Linked DNA regions of Drosophila melanogaster. The protein of the gene in region 1 binds, or shares a complex with, the protein of each later gene. Each region holds a gene or a part of one and is shown on either strand. Other genes may lie near its edges. The genes, in order: CSN8, CSN3 and CSN5.

The links.
Region 2: CSN8 (region 1) and CSN3 share a complex: the UniProt entries of both Drosophila melanogaster proteins name them as parts of the CSN complex.
Region 3: CSN8 (region 1) and CSN5 share a complex: the UniProt entries of both Drosophila melanogaster proteins name them as parts of the CSN complex.

Annotation. Positions count from the first base shown.
Region 1 is NT_033779.5:8,362,960-8,366,243, reverse strand, and holds CSN8 (COP9 signalosome subunit 8), read right to left. Parts: upstream 1,390-3,284; 5' UTR 1,322-1,389; coding exon 1,265-1,321; intron 1,205-1,264; coding exon 1,140-1,204; intron 1,092-1,139; coding exon 916-1,091; intron 856-915; coding exon 605-855; 3' UTR 581-604; downstream 1-580. Other genes in the region: RpS13 (ribosomal protein S13), read left to right, coding at 1,681-1,703, 1,929-2,056, 2,119-2,423. UniProt on the Drosophila melanogaster protein: Probable component of the COP9 signalosome complex (CSN), a complex involved in various cellular and developmental processes.
Region 2 is NT_037436.4:20,838,466-20,843,430, forward strand, and holds CSN3 (COP9 signalosome subunit 3), read right to left. Parts: upstream 3,112-4,965; 5' UTR 3,000-3,111; coding exon 2,945-2,999; intron 2,832-2,944; coding exon 2,583-2,831; intron 2,524-2,582; coding exon 2,261-2,523; intron 2,203-2,260; coding exon 2,008-2,202; intron 1,937-2,007; coding exon 1,760-1,936; intron 1,433-1,759; coding exon 1,301-1,432; intron 1,242-1,300; coding exon 1,059-1,241; intron 1,001-1,058; coding exon 933-1,000; intron 876-932; coding exon 860-875; 3' UTR 631-859; downstream 1-630. Other genes in the region: CG13255 (uncharacterized protein), read left to right, coding at 1-120; CG11456 (uncharacterized protein), read left to right, coding at 3,586-3,884, 3,938-4,463, 4,516-4,893, 4,956-4,965. UniProt on the Drosophila melanogaster protein: Component of the COP9 signalosome complex (CSN), a complex involved in various cellular and developmental processes.
Region 3 is NT_033777.3:16,468,297-16,471,944, reverse strand, and holds CSN5 (COP9 signalosome subunit 5), read right to left. Parts: upstream 1,847-3,648; 5' UTR 1,767-1,846; coding exon 1,506-1,766; intron 1,453-1,505; coding exon 876-1,452; intron 817-875; coding exon 671-816; 3' UTR 539-670; downstream 1-538. Other genes in the region: CG42232 (uncharacterized protein), read left to right, coding at 2,538-2,711, 2,774-2,995, 3,069-3,112, 3,270-3,648. UniProt on the Drosophila melanogaster protein: Probable protease subunit of the COP9 signalosome complex (CSN), a complex involved in various cellular and developmental processes.

The DNA.
Region 1 (3,284 bases):
AGGCAAACGACGAGATTTCTATTTGGCCCTCTGGCGATTCGCAGTTTACTTCTTCAAGGTTACAAAATAATTTCGCAAGGTACTATATTTCGTCGCTGCAAATTTTCTAAGAATCCATACAATTATCCGCTGATTGCTGTTCTTTTCGAACGAAAAACGTACGTCGTTGGTGCAAATTAATATTTTTTTTCTTCAAGTGACACAACGGTAGAGGTGGAACGCATATCGGTTATCATTCGATACTATCGGCGTTTCCGCGCGTCGATAGATTTTCTGAAATATATTTTATTTAACTGAATTCTGAAGAATATTAAAATCACACTTATTAAATTAGGCCAAGAATATGATTATATATCTACATAGATTACATGGAAAATTATAATTCTGTAGCCTTAGTTTCTAGTTCCTAATTTTTAGGTATACTTCCAAAAGCTAATTCGTACAAAACCCAATGGCGCCAATTCGGTGATTTAGCTAATATTTATAAATATGTCTAATAACGATATTAATCGAGTGTTTTTTAGATTGACACAGGCTGTGTGACCATAACTTTTCTTCAAATGTATACAAAAATCCAATTAAATGTATTGAAATTTATTGAGGCTTAATTCTCTAGGAAGGTTACAAACTCGGTCAACTTAAGCAACTGGTCATCGTTTCCACGAGCTGGCGGTGCTTCCTGAACCTTGGGCTTCAGGATTACCCGGTCACCGTCCAGTTCCTCAGTCCAATTTAAGGCCGCACAGGCGTGTTTCAGTTCGTCCTCCGACATTAGTGACAATTCCAGTAGATTGTGCTGGTAAATGGACATATATGCGCTGCCCATTAGTTTGAACAGCTCTTCGCGTTGCTTATCTAAGTAGATACATTATAAGTTTTTATATCCAATTAGTAAGCTTTTAGGCATAGCCATACTTAGAAGATCCTCCACAGGTGACTTTACTCTTTCCGACCACTCATACTTGATGTGTTTGAAGAAATCGGCATAGTTATTGTTCTGCAGGGCAATATTGAGCAGGTTCAGCTGGATCAGTTCCTTGTCATCCCTTAGGTTAGCTGGAACTCTCATCCACAACAACTTGGCATCAGCCCTGTAGCACAAGATTAAAATATGTATTTCTTTTATATCAATCACTTACAGTTTGTTTTGATAGAGGTAAATAGCAAGTAATTGCTGGTAGACTTCAGCTCCCAGTTCGACTTGCTGTAAAAGTATGGTTTTCTAGAATTCCATCTGTAGTGAATATATTAAACGATCACTCACCTCAAATTCCTCGTTCTCAAGCCGCTCCACTACTTCACTATATTTATTTAAATGCATTTTATTGGTAAATTCTTGGTCGGGAAACAATAATGTGACCGTTTAGCGTGCTGCAAGAAATGAAACCTTCCCAAAGCACTCCTGTGCTTGTGTAGAGTCTAGCTGACAATAGTATACATATATCGATAGCTAAATGAATTATTTTTACACAAATTAGCTTTCTATTTCCCTTTAATAAATCCTGTAATAGTCACTTAAAGTAAAGTTTTGAATATCACAACATATTGTAAGCGCATTAAAAAAAATATCGCTAAGCATCCCGTTATCGATAGCTGCTTTGACAGGTCTCCACATCGTAGAGCTGTCAACGTGCCAAAAGTCTCCACCTTCTTTTCGGTGTCAAAAACTAGACTATCAAGATGGGTCGTATGCACGCTCCTGGGTAAAAATGAAATTTTTCATTGTTTTCGATGCCTGTGTGCCAAGCTGAATGCATGCAAAATGTGTCTGCCGTGCGGGTTGAACGAATGAATGTGTTTAATGCGTTTCTACGGTGGTTTTAGTGTGTTAATTATCGACCGCAAAGGCAAGCACATGGTGCAGACGTATTCGCATTTGACAGGCGCCGCCATAAACGCGTACTAACATTTGTGTATTTCGTTCACAGCAAGGGTATTTCCCAATCAGCCCTCCCCTACAGACGCACTGTCCCATCCTGGCTGAAACTGAACGCAGATGATGTCAAGGAGCAGATTAAGAAGCTGGGCAAGAAGGGTCTGACTCCCTCCAAAATCGGTGAGCACTGCCGAGTATGTTGTTGTTTGAGGTTATGTTAATCCGGAATCCGGTTTTTACAGGCATCATCCTGCGTGACTCGCACGGAGTTGCCCAGGTGCGTTTCGTCAACGGAAACAAGATCCTGCGCATCATGAAGTCGGTGGGTCTGAAGCCCGACATTCCCGAGGATCTGTACCACATGATCAAGAAGGCCGTCGCCATCCGCAAGCACTTGGAGCGCAACCGCAAGGACAAGGACGGCAAGTTCCGTCTGATTCTGGTCGAGTCCAGGATCCACCGCCTGGCCCGCTACTACAAGACCAAGAGCGTCCTGCCCCCCAACTGGAAATACGAGTCGAGCACTGCCTCCGCCCTGGTTGCCTAAGTTCTTGATTCGCTAGTTGGTAGTTTGTTTTCAAGTCTTGCGGGGTCCTACATTTCCATCAATGTACAACCAATAAACCCAACAAATAAAACTGGAAATCGGAACTATTTTATAGACTAAACAAATTATGTGTGGTTTATTTACTTCAATAATTTCCAGTAATCTGCTTCAATGATTTCCAAACTCAAACTTGATACTATTTACCTGTGGCTAGCTTTAATTCAAATTCAGCGGCATCTCCAATAATGGAACTTTGTGAAACAGCTTAAAGGATGTGGACTAAAACCCAAAATGCTTTTAAATACATATGTGCAGCCCAGTCTGGGTGTTTCATACCGGAATACTTTTAGGAACAACATGATATATTCATTTTGAAAGTGCGCTTTGGGGAATGCTTTTAAGTATGTATTGATCATCGATTATGCCTTAATTGTTAGAGCTGAACGTATGTTTTTATTCCTGGTGTGTTACAACGTTATTTCCCAATTAAGGGGGTGTTTTAAATTTCGAAATGGAGATTAGGCGCAATAATTTAAAAAACACCTATCGAAATAACGAAATTGGAATGTTCCACTCCTTTAACATTCACTTGTTGCATGGTTTTCAGCAAGAAACTGCAAATCACATATGTACATAAATATATACAAATGTTTGTATGTATGTGCCACACTAGGGGGCACACAGGTAACAATTTTACAGTGGTACTTCTTTAACGTGAATAGCTGAGGATGTTAAAACCCTGATGGCCTCTTATCGCGTTTTCAATTTCAAATACATGCATGTATTTATATGTGAGGGGGAGAAGTGGACAATAATGTTATTGATTAACATTAATATTTTTGTGAAAATCAAACGGTTATC
Region 2 (4,965 bases), on another chromosome or scaffold:
GTCAATGTGGTCCACAAGCTGTATCGCAGTCTCAACGGCGAGGTATCAACGGGGCTGGTTTCTCCGGCACAGCAGCTGAAGACCTCCATCATGGAGCTAGACGCCATGAAGACCGGTTAGGATGGGTGCAGCGCAGCTGGCTATGAGAGGCGCGAGAATCTCAAGTCTCAGTCTCCGATGTCAGAGCTCCGGTTTTAATTCGGGCGATTGGAGCGATGTACGACGAACGACAGCTGCTGACCACCCACACGCACGAACCACACAACCTAGACGCCTGTTGATATGTTAAGCTATGCAACTAGACTAGACGTAAATAAATACACGAAACTAGGCTTACGAGTAGAAATTAACTACATTAAACGCGCTGGTCCTCTAGTCACTTAATTGTTTGTTTTTGCCCTAAGGTTAGGTTACATGTACATTGATATTGTAAATAAAATAACGTGAACGATAACTGAACTGCAATTAAGGTAGATTGGGGGCAAGTACAAAGCACTTAACCGATCCGTCCAGACAGTAAAACGTCGCCTGATCGAACGATGCGTAGAAAAGGCACAACAGCCTTATCGTTGCAGTATCGAGACGTATAATTTGTGAGTCAATCAAATGCGTGATAAGGATCCCTGACTTAGTCATAGATTTATACATAGTTTATTTAAAATAGCATGTTCATCTTTAAATTTGCAATAAGAGCGCAGTTTGTTGTTGTGGTAGCTGAATGAGTACGGACTGCAAGAGACGTCAGCTTTCGGGCCCAGGGCCTCGCGGCTTCGACAAGTTCTGGTAAACGGTGTTGGGGATTGGATGAGCGTAGAAATGATAGCAGCAGGCTGCTGGTGGTTCTGTGGCAGTGGTATCATCAATCTGTGGGATCACTGTAACAAAGGAAACATTACTAACAATTCTCGGTTCGTTTTTATTCCAAATCTCACCCCGAGAAAGTCTTTGGGTGCTGCGACGTTAGGTCATCATCCTGGCTGCCAAGAGCCTTTTTCACATACTGCCAAATGGAATTTAAACAAATAACATATAACCAATAACCTCACAATAGAACCTACCATTGGATTTAAAATGATCTCCTCCTCCATTTTGTTGATCTGCCTAACTTGATCCAGAACGTGTGTTATATTATTTTGCACGTTGAGGAACATCTCCGGTGAGTTGTATTTCTCTGGGTCGTCTTTGAACAACACCATACCGTCCTTTTGATTGATGCTGGCATATATTTCACCCGATTTTATCTGCAATTAGGTATTATCTCGGTATAAATAAAAAACGAAAAAAGAAGACAACTTCTTACCATGTTGAGAATGTAACGCTCTGCTTCGACTGCGCTGGCAAGTTGGACACGACTGGCCACATCGCTCAGGGAAAGGGTCAAGAAGGTTTTAGTGAGCCGCTGGATGTTTCGCTTGTACAAGGAGGTAGCCACCTAAGGGGATACCCAATATTAAAGTTTCATAGTTAGATGGTTCTGCCAGTTATCTTATTAAAAAACTGTGTTGTTTAGAATACAGAAAAATCTAAATTTAATTTCCACCGGAAATAATTTTATGTTTATATTATGTTTATACTTCCGCATAAATTTAATTATTTTTTTTTTATTTGAAACGGTGAGTAATTAAAAGTTCAATTTGTAGCACTGTTCAACCTTGAAAAGAATTGGGTGTTTTTAATTTTTTTTTCGAATACCGTCTTACTTTTTACATACGGAAGCCACAGATTAGAAAAGAACCAGGAATGACCCTTAAATACTTGCCTGCTTGGCCAGTCCCATATTGTTATCACGCGTAAATGCTTCACTGTACTTGAGTATGATAATGCGCAGCTCTTCGCTAGACGAATTCGCGTACACATTGACCAGGTCGTGGTAGTGATTGGCCATCGGCTTCATAAAACGACCAATGACCTGTGTGTTTTTTGGTATATACGCTATCTGCAACCGACACAAGATTTTCCGATTGAGAGACTGATATATAAACGGAACTAAATTGTTGTCCAGCTTACCTTGCCTTCGACGATGAGTGAAACCATGAGAAATTTTTTGTAGGCCTCCAGCATGATGTGCGACATGGCCATTGCCGGAGTGGTGATGCAGACTTCGAAGAAGTACAACGCACGCTCGTAGTTCTTCACCGCCGTGTAGATCATGCCGCCGTAGTAGAAGTACAGCAAGAAGTACTTGGCATCGTTGTTGGCATCCTAAAAAATTAATCTATGAGTTCTAGTAGCCCAGAAGTTCATTTTCAACCGTGAATACCGCGTGCTGGGACTGCTGCTGCTGTTGCGTCTTGCACTCGGCTGCCACGGTGGAGATGTCCGTGATGTCCGCGTCCAGATACGGCAGCACCACACTGAAGTTTTTCGCCTTCAGGCTGAGCAGGCAGAGATCGGCGTGTATGGGAGTTAACTGGGTTTCCAACTGTCGAATCTGGTCGATGGCGCGCGAAATGATGCGTATGCCCAGGATGCTGAGGTTCTTTTGCACCACAAACTCGGTAAACAGATGGCATGTTTCGTAAACTGAATGGGATATGTGATTACTTTTAGGGTACTTTTGGAACAGAAGATTCATGTCTCACAGGCGCACACCGCATAGCGCAGCTGCTCGTTATTGTTGCGCTGCACAAAGTCCCGCATCAGCTGGATAAGTTGTACCGGCTCCGGATTCGCGGTGGACGCACTGTGCAGTTTGGCCAGGAGCACATAGAGCACGCCCAGCGAGTGCTGCTGCATGTCTAGCGTCTCCAGCACGTTGTCCAGAATGCTCCAGTTGCGGGCTAGCAGCGACAGCGACTCCGGCAGCTCCTCGGCCAGCTCCCGATAGCTTCCTGTGATGAAAAGCCAGCCAGCAAAGTTAGTTGCGAATCGCTTTAATATCAAAACAAAGGCGGCAACGAGCCCGGTTTCTTGAGGATCGTTCTTCGCCGGTCGGCCAACTTACCGGACGCACTCAGTGTGCGCACTTGATTCACATAGTTTTCCAGCGCGCTGCCCATTTTAGGTAACTCCGAGACTACTTTTTGGCCTATTAACTTGCAAAACTGCGAAAAATAATTTCGCGAAATAACAAATGACTGCCGACGGATTAGAGCTGGGAATAAAACGATGAATATTCGGTGCTGTCGATTTCTTATCGATTAGTGGCCTAAAGACAGCGTTGTTCTACACTGGCTCTGTAATAACGCGCCATCTATAACTTATAACACTATCACTCAGCTGGAAAAATTTAGAACAGGCACACAAAAATTAAAGGATTAAGACACTTGATGCTCTTCTTTGTACTCTATACTATATAAATTTAATTCGCGCACTTACCATTAGAATCAGCGTTATGCCATGTTTATAATTTAATTTATGAAATTTTAAGAAAATTATTCTAAAACAACTAGTTCAAATTTCGATTAGAATCAGCGTTATGCCATGTTTATAATTTAGTTTATGAAATTTTAAGAAAATTATTCTAAAACAACTATTTCAAATTTCGATAGTGCAGCCGCGATAGTGCTCACTATTTTCGATAACACTTTGTTGCTGTTATTGAATTGCTGTTAATATCCCAATACGAAATGTAACTAATATAAAATGGAAAATTCTGCGCGAATCGTATATGTGTGCAGTCTCTGCCTTCGTCAATATGATCTCCAGGAGGATCTTCGAGGACATCTCGTCTACTTTCACGGCTATGAGCCCATCTCAACGCCCAGTGTCAAAAACAAAACTGCGAAGACTTCAACTAAGGAACAAACTGCAGCCGGCAGCAACAGCCAGGATAAGCAAACCGTTGTGGAGCGATCGGAGAACTCGGAACCCCCGGCAAGTGAACTGCAGCCCATGCCTTTCAAGGACTTTCGGCTGGTGCTAAGGGCCAACATGTTAGAGCCGTATGTATGTCCATATTATTACCATAAGCTTCTGACAAACTCGTTTGTTAAAGGTGCTCCTTTGGAAAGGAATGCCCCTTCAAGTTCCAAGATGCTACCAAAATGGAGCTCCACTGTAGTTGCCATAAGGGTGGCAGTTTTTCCTGCTGCGAATGTGGCATGGAACTGCCCAACTGGCGGCGGTGCTCGGCTCACCTGTGGAAAGCCCACCAGGTGGATGTGGACCTACTAGTGTGTCCCGTTTTCGAATGCAACTACAAGTCGCCCATATCCGCTCTCGTGTGGCGCCACATGCAGGTTCACAAAAAGTGGCGACCCAGGGTGCTCCGGTCACTGGCTGCCGTTCAGCGGAGAAGAAAGCTCAAGGAACAGTCCGCAGAGATGGCCGCGCAACCTGCTGCTCTGCCACCATCGTCAAAGAAAAACAAATACTATGCCGAGAAGACTTGCGAGATTTGCAATCGCAAGTTTGTCAACGGTAAAACGCTCTCTAAACACGTGAAGACTGTTCACAACAAAATCAAGCCATTTATCTGCAATGTGTGTGGCAAAAAGACGGCTCGCAAGGCTAGCTTAATAGTGAGTTCAGATAGCACTTTACGATCTTCTTGCTACCTAATACTCTTTCCAGATTCACATGCGTCAGCACACGGGCGAGAAGCCGCTGCAATGTGGCGAATGCAAGTTCTCCACTCGCGATCCCAGTGTCCTGCACAAGCATCGGCAGCGTCATGATAGCCAGGACACAAGGAGCAGCCTGAAATGTAGTCAGTGCGACTACTTCTGCATCCAAGCCAATGCTCTTAAGCGCCACATGCGGCTCAATCATGCCGAAGCCTATAGGGACTTGTGCTGTGATATCTGCAGCTTCACCTCAATTAATGTAGAACGACTACGAGCCCACAAACAGGATCATCGACAGGGCTTGATCACAAATTGTGAGGATTCTATGGATGCACGTGCCGCTGGCTTCAAGTATCCTCGAAAAGTGGGCGACAAGAACGGGGAGGTATGTCCCCTGATCTTCTCATCATCTTTTATCATTTGTATAAGCTACAGTTTATTTTGCAGATTTCAGCTG
Region 3 (3,648 bases), on another chromosome or scaffold:
GACTACGGGTCTGTCAGGGAAACCCTAGAGCCCATCGGCAAACACGCAATCGGGGAATACAAGTTGTAAAATAAACCAAACGATGAAAATAATGAAACCATTTGATTGATGAGAGGGACGCATTCGCGGCTTGGCTTGTATAGCTAACCAGGCTGTGTAATATTTACTTTAAAAATCCCGAAGCAATTAGGGAATGTTTCAGTCGGTGGGCTTCAGTTGTTGCTTTGAGACCGGCTCGGGTTACATAATTCTAGACCAATTGATTTACCCAAGCATCACATTTTCGACAATGTTTTATCGCCATGTCCAATTATTTTATATTCTATAAATGTCAAATGCAGAAGCGTTTTTTATTTAACAATAAAAAGGTTTGTTTATCTGAAAGAATATAATAAATGGTGGATCGGCTGTTTTTCGTCCAGGCGAATAAAAGTTTCAACTTTTACTATGCCTTCCGTCGTCTAATACATAAATAACGAAAACAGTTTCTCTACAAAAAAGAACCCATTTTAAAAGTAAAAGCGTTTGAGATTTTTTTCATCAGCCTATGAGGCGGTTTTATAATTTCCTTTTTCTTTTGGATAAGCTTGACTTACTTAAATATTTCCCAGGGAAATGAAAAGAAAATTCACAATGCATTTTAAAATTCATTGCGAATTTTAGTGTTGAACTATTTGCCCAGTCCGACCTTGTTGAAAAGTTTGTCCTTAACAATCTGAGCCATCAAGCCGTGTATCAGTTCAATGGTGGAGCGGCTGCAGTCTCGGGTGGCCTTGGACAGCTTATCCTCCGAACGCTTCTCATTGACATCGGTTCCTGTGGATAATAAAGCGGGTAAATTATTTGCACAATTCCTAAATCGACCCATTATGTACCGCGACCTAAAAAGTTCTCACTCTGCTCCAGCTTCTCGGAGAGATCCATGATCTGACCGGTGGTGTACTCTGTGTTGGTGAGCAGACCCGAGCTGCCCAGTGTGTTTACCCAGTATTTGTTCCACAGAGAGTCGAGGAGCCTGCGGTCCAGAGCAGACTTGAAGTAGCTAATTTCCAAGGGATAGTACTGCTTGCAGTGGACTCCAAAGTCTTCGATCTTATTCAGCGGGATGGTCTGATACTCCGAGGGCTCCTCGTTTGGTGGCTTATAACCTTTTGGATACGTGCGGAATGCACCCAGACACACCTTGCCAGCGGAAACAGTGCGCACCGGATCAACCACAATGGCCACGAATGGCTCCTGGTATGTCTGGTTGAGCATCTGGGTGGACACATCGATGCCGGACAACCAGCAACCGTAACCGGGATGGCTGTGATACCAGCCCACGGCGTGTTCCATGCGTCCCACCTCTTTGGCCGCTTCCATGTAGGCGGTCATGTACTCGTACGCTTGTGCCTGGGCATTGACGCGGGTTTCAGTGCCCTCCACTGGCAGTGCAAATGCATCCATGACAATCTGCACGGGAATGACTTATAAATTGAGGACCTTTTTTACATTCAATAACTCACCATTGTGTTGTCCTCTACCTTGCCAAGCATTAGACCCATCACCTCCAAAGTACCGCCAGAGCGAGCGTGCATCACCATCTTTAGGAGCGCCAGAGCCGAGATCTTAATGTCCTTAAAGAAGTGGGGATCTTTCTCCCAGGGCTTCGCATCGATGATCTGCCGCTGCTGTTCGGCGTCGTAGCGAAAGATCTCGTCACAACTGGGCAACGTCTGGATGTTGTTCTCCAGCTCCCAGGTCTTTTGTGCGGCGTCGGAGTCCATTGTGATTGTACTTATGCCGAAAATTGTAGTCTTTTGTTGCAAGTTTTTGTTTTCCGGCTCAATTCTAGAGATGAACTTGTCGGTACCATCTGTACAATCAATTTCATGAAGGTACAATCGATATTTTTTATAAATCGATTATTATAAGTTAAGAAATTAAAATATTGATTAAAAAATTTAAAATTTATCTATATTAACAATTTATTTGTTTAATAAATAAAATGTATTTTTAATCGTTAATTTTTTACCAAGGAAAGTTTTTTAATTTAATTTTTCTGTTTACGATACGCACTCTAATTTGCAGCATTTTTGACTAAAAAAAACTTAAAACCTTATTTCATAGTGACAAAATGATTCATCGCAGTATCTGTAATCTGTATCTTTCTTTTCACTTCTTGAGATTAACCATTATTAATAATCACATAATATAAACCACTTTTAATTCAAGTAAGTTGTCAGTTCCTGCACCCCGAATTTTAAATGTAACGCATAAGCCGGCGCATTAAAAGCAGGTTGGCAGGGCTTGCGCGTCCATTGCAAAAAAATTCCTGCACAGAGTTTTCGCTACAATTAACTTTGGCAAGCTCGTGATGTGGGCCGTAAAAACAGTGTCTGGTGGAAAAGTGTGAAAGAAATCAGTGAATAGTTTGTGGGTGTTTTGTGTACGTGCATTTACCGTATTATTCCCAATAGCTTTGCGGCTTTTCAAAGTGCTCGCTTCGGTATTCGTTTTCCCCGCACCCAAGCCGCATTTGCGACGCCGCTTGGAAAATGTCGCTGGATGGCGGTAGGTTGCGCTACGAAGACGAAAATGGTAAAACCGTGGTTCTGGCAGCCAAAGGGCGCACCTTCCAGGTGGGCTCCTACTACAATTGCGACCTCATCCTGGAGGGGCCAGAGGAGGAGCGTCTAATTTGCGAAATAAACTGCGATGCCTTCGGCAGGGTGAGTCTGGATGGCAGGAATCCCCCTTAACCGCCCTAACATACTGCTTCTTCCGCCCTTAGGTCATCATATACAACAAGTCCAGCGGAGACCCCATTCATCTCAACGACGTGGCCATCCACGCTGCAGGCAAGCGTCCTTTGCTACACGGTGGCAAGATTACCATTCGAGACAAGGTCTACACGTGGGAGTTCCCCAAGACCTCCGAGGTGCAGGATGCCCCATGCACCCCAGAACGCCTATTGCCCAACGAACAGGCCTCAAACTCCTGCCCTTCATTGAAGGTAATAGCCGCCATCTGTTCCAGATAGTACAGTATTCCAAGTCCTACAATTTCCCCATTTTTATTTGATTTAGCAATCGCATCGTCTACAAGCCGAAAAACGCCTGACAGTTCACAAGTAAGTGAAAACAGCAGGCAGACCCCTAACCGACTACCTGGCCAACCCCTAAAATGTCTTTGGGCAACAACAATAGGAAAAAGTCCCTACTGCAAGCATGTGTTGTCTGCCTGTTAATAGTCCTCATAAAACCTTATCTCTGCTTATACCTTTTCAGTTTTCACTACAGCATCAATTCGGACGACGAAGGAAATACTTCTATAGAGTCTCGTGATCAGAGTGAGTCTCACTTGGAGGATGTCTCACTGAATGAATCAATTCAGCGCAGCACAGAGGAGACAGCTTACGAGTCCCCCAAAGTAAATCTTCTGGAGGCTACGCAGAATAAGGAGAATACCGCAACGCCACCAGGTAGCCACCAAAAGCTACTAAGGCTGTGCGCCATCTCCGACGTGGTTATTACCTCTTATTCGCCGCGCGAGACTGGCGTGAAGATCGAGAAATCCTTTTCATGTGTTCGAAAACCTGGCTACACCACGACGTCTTTGGCTGTTTCCACGCCCAAGAGCGTATACAGCACCCCCAAGGGCAATGTG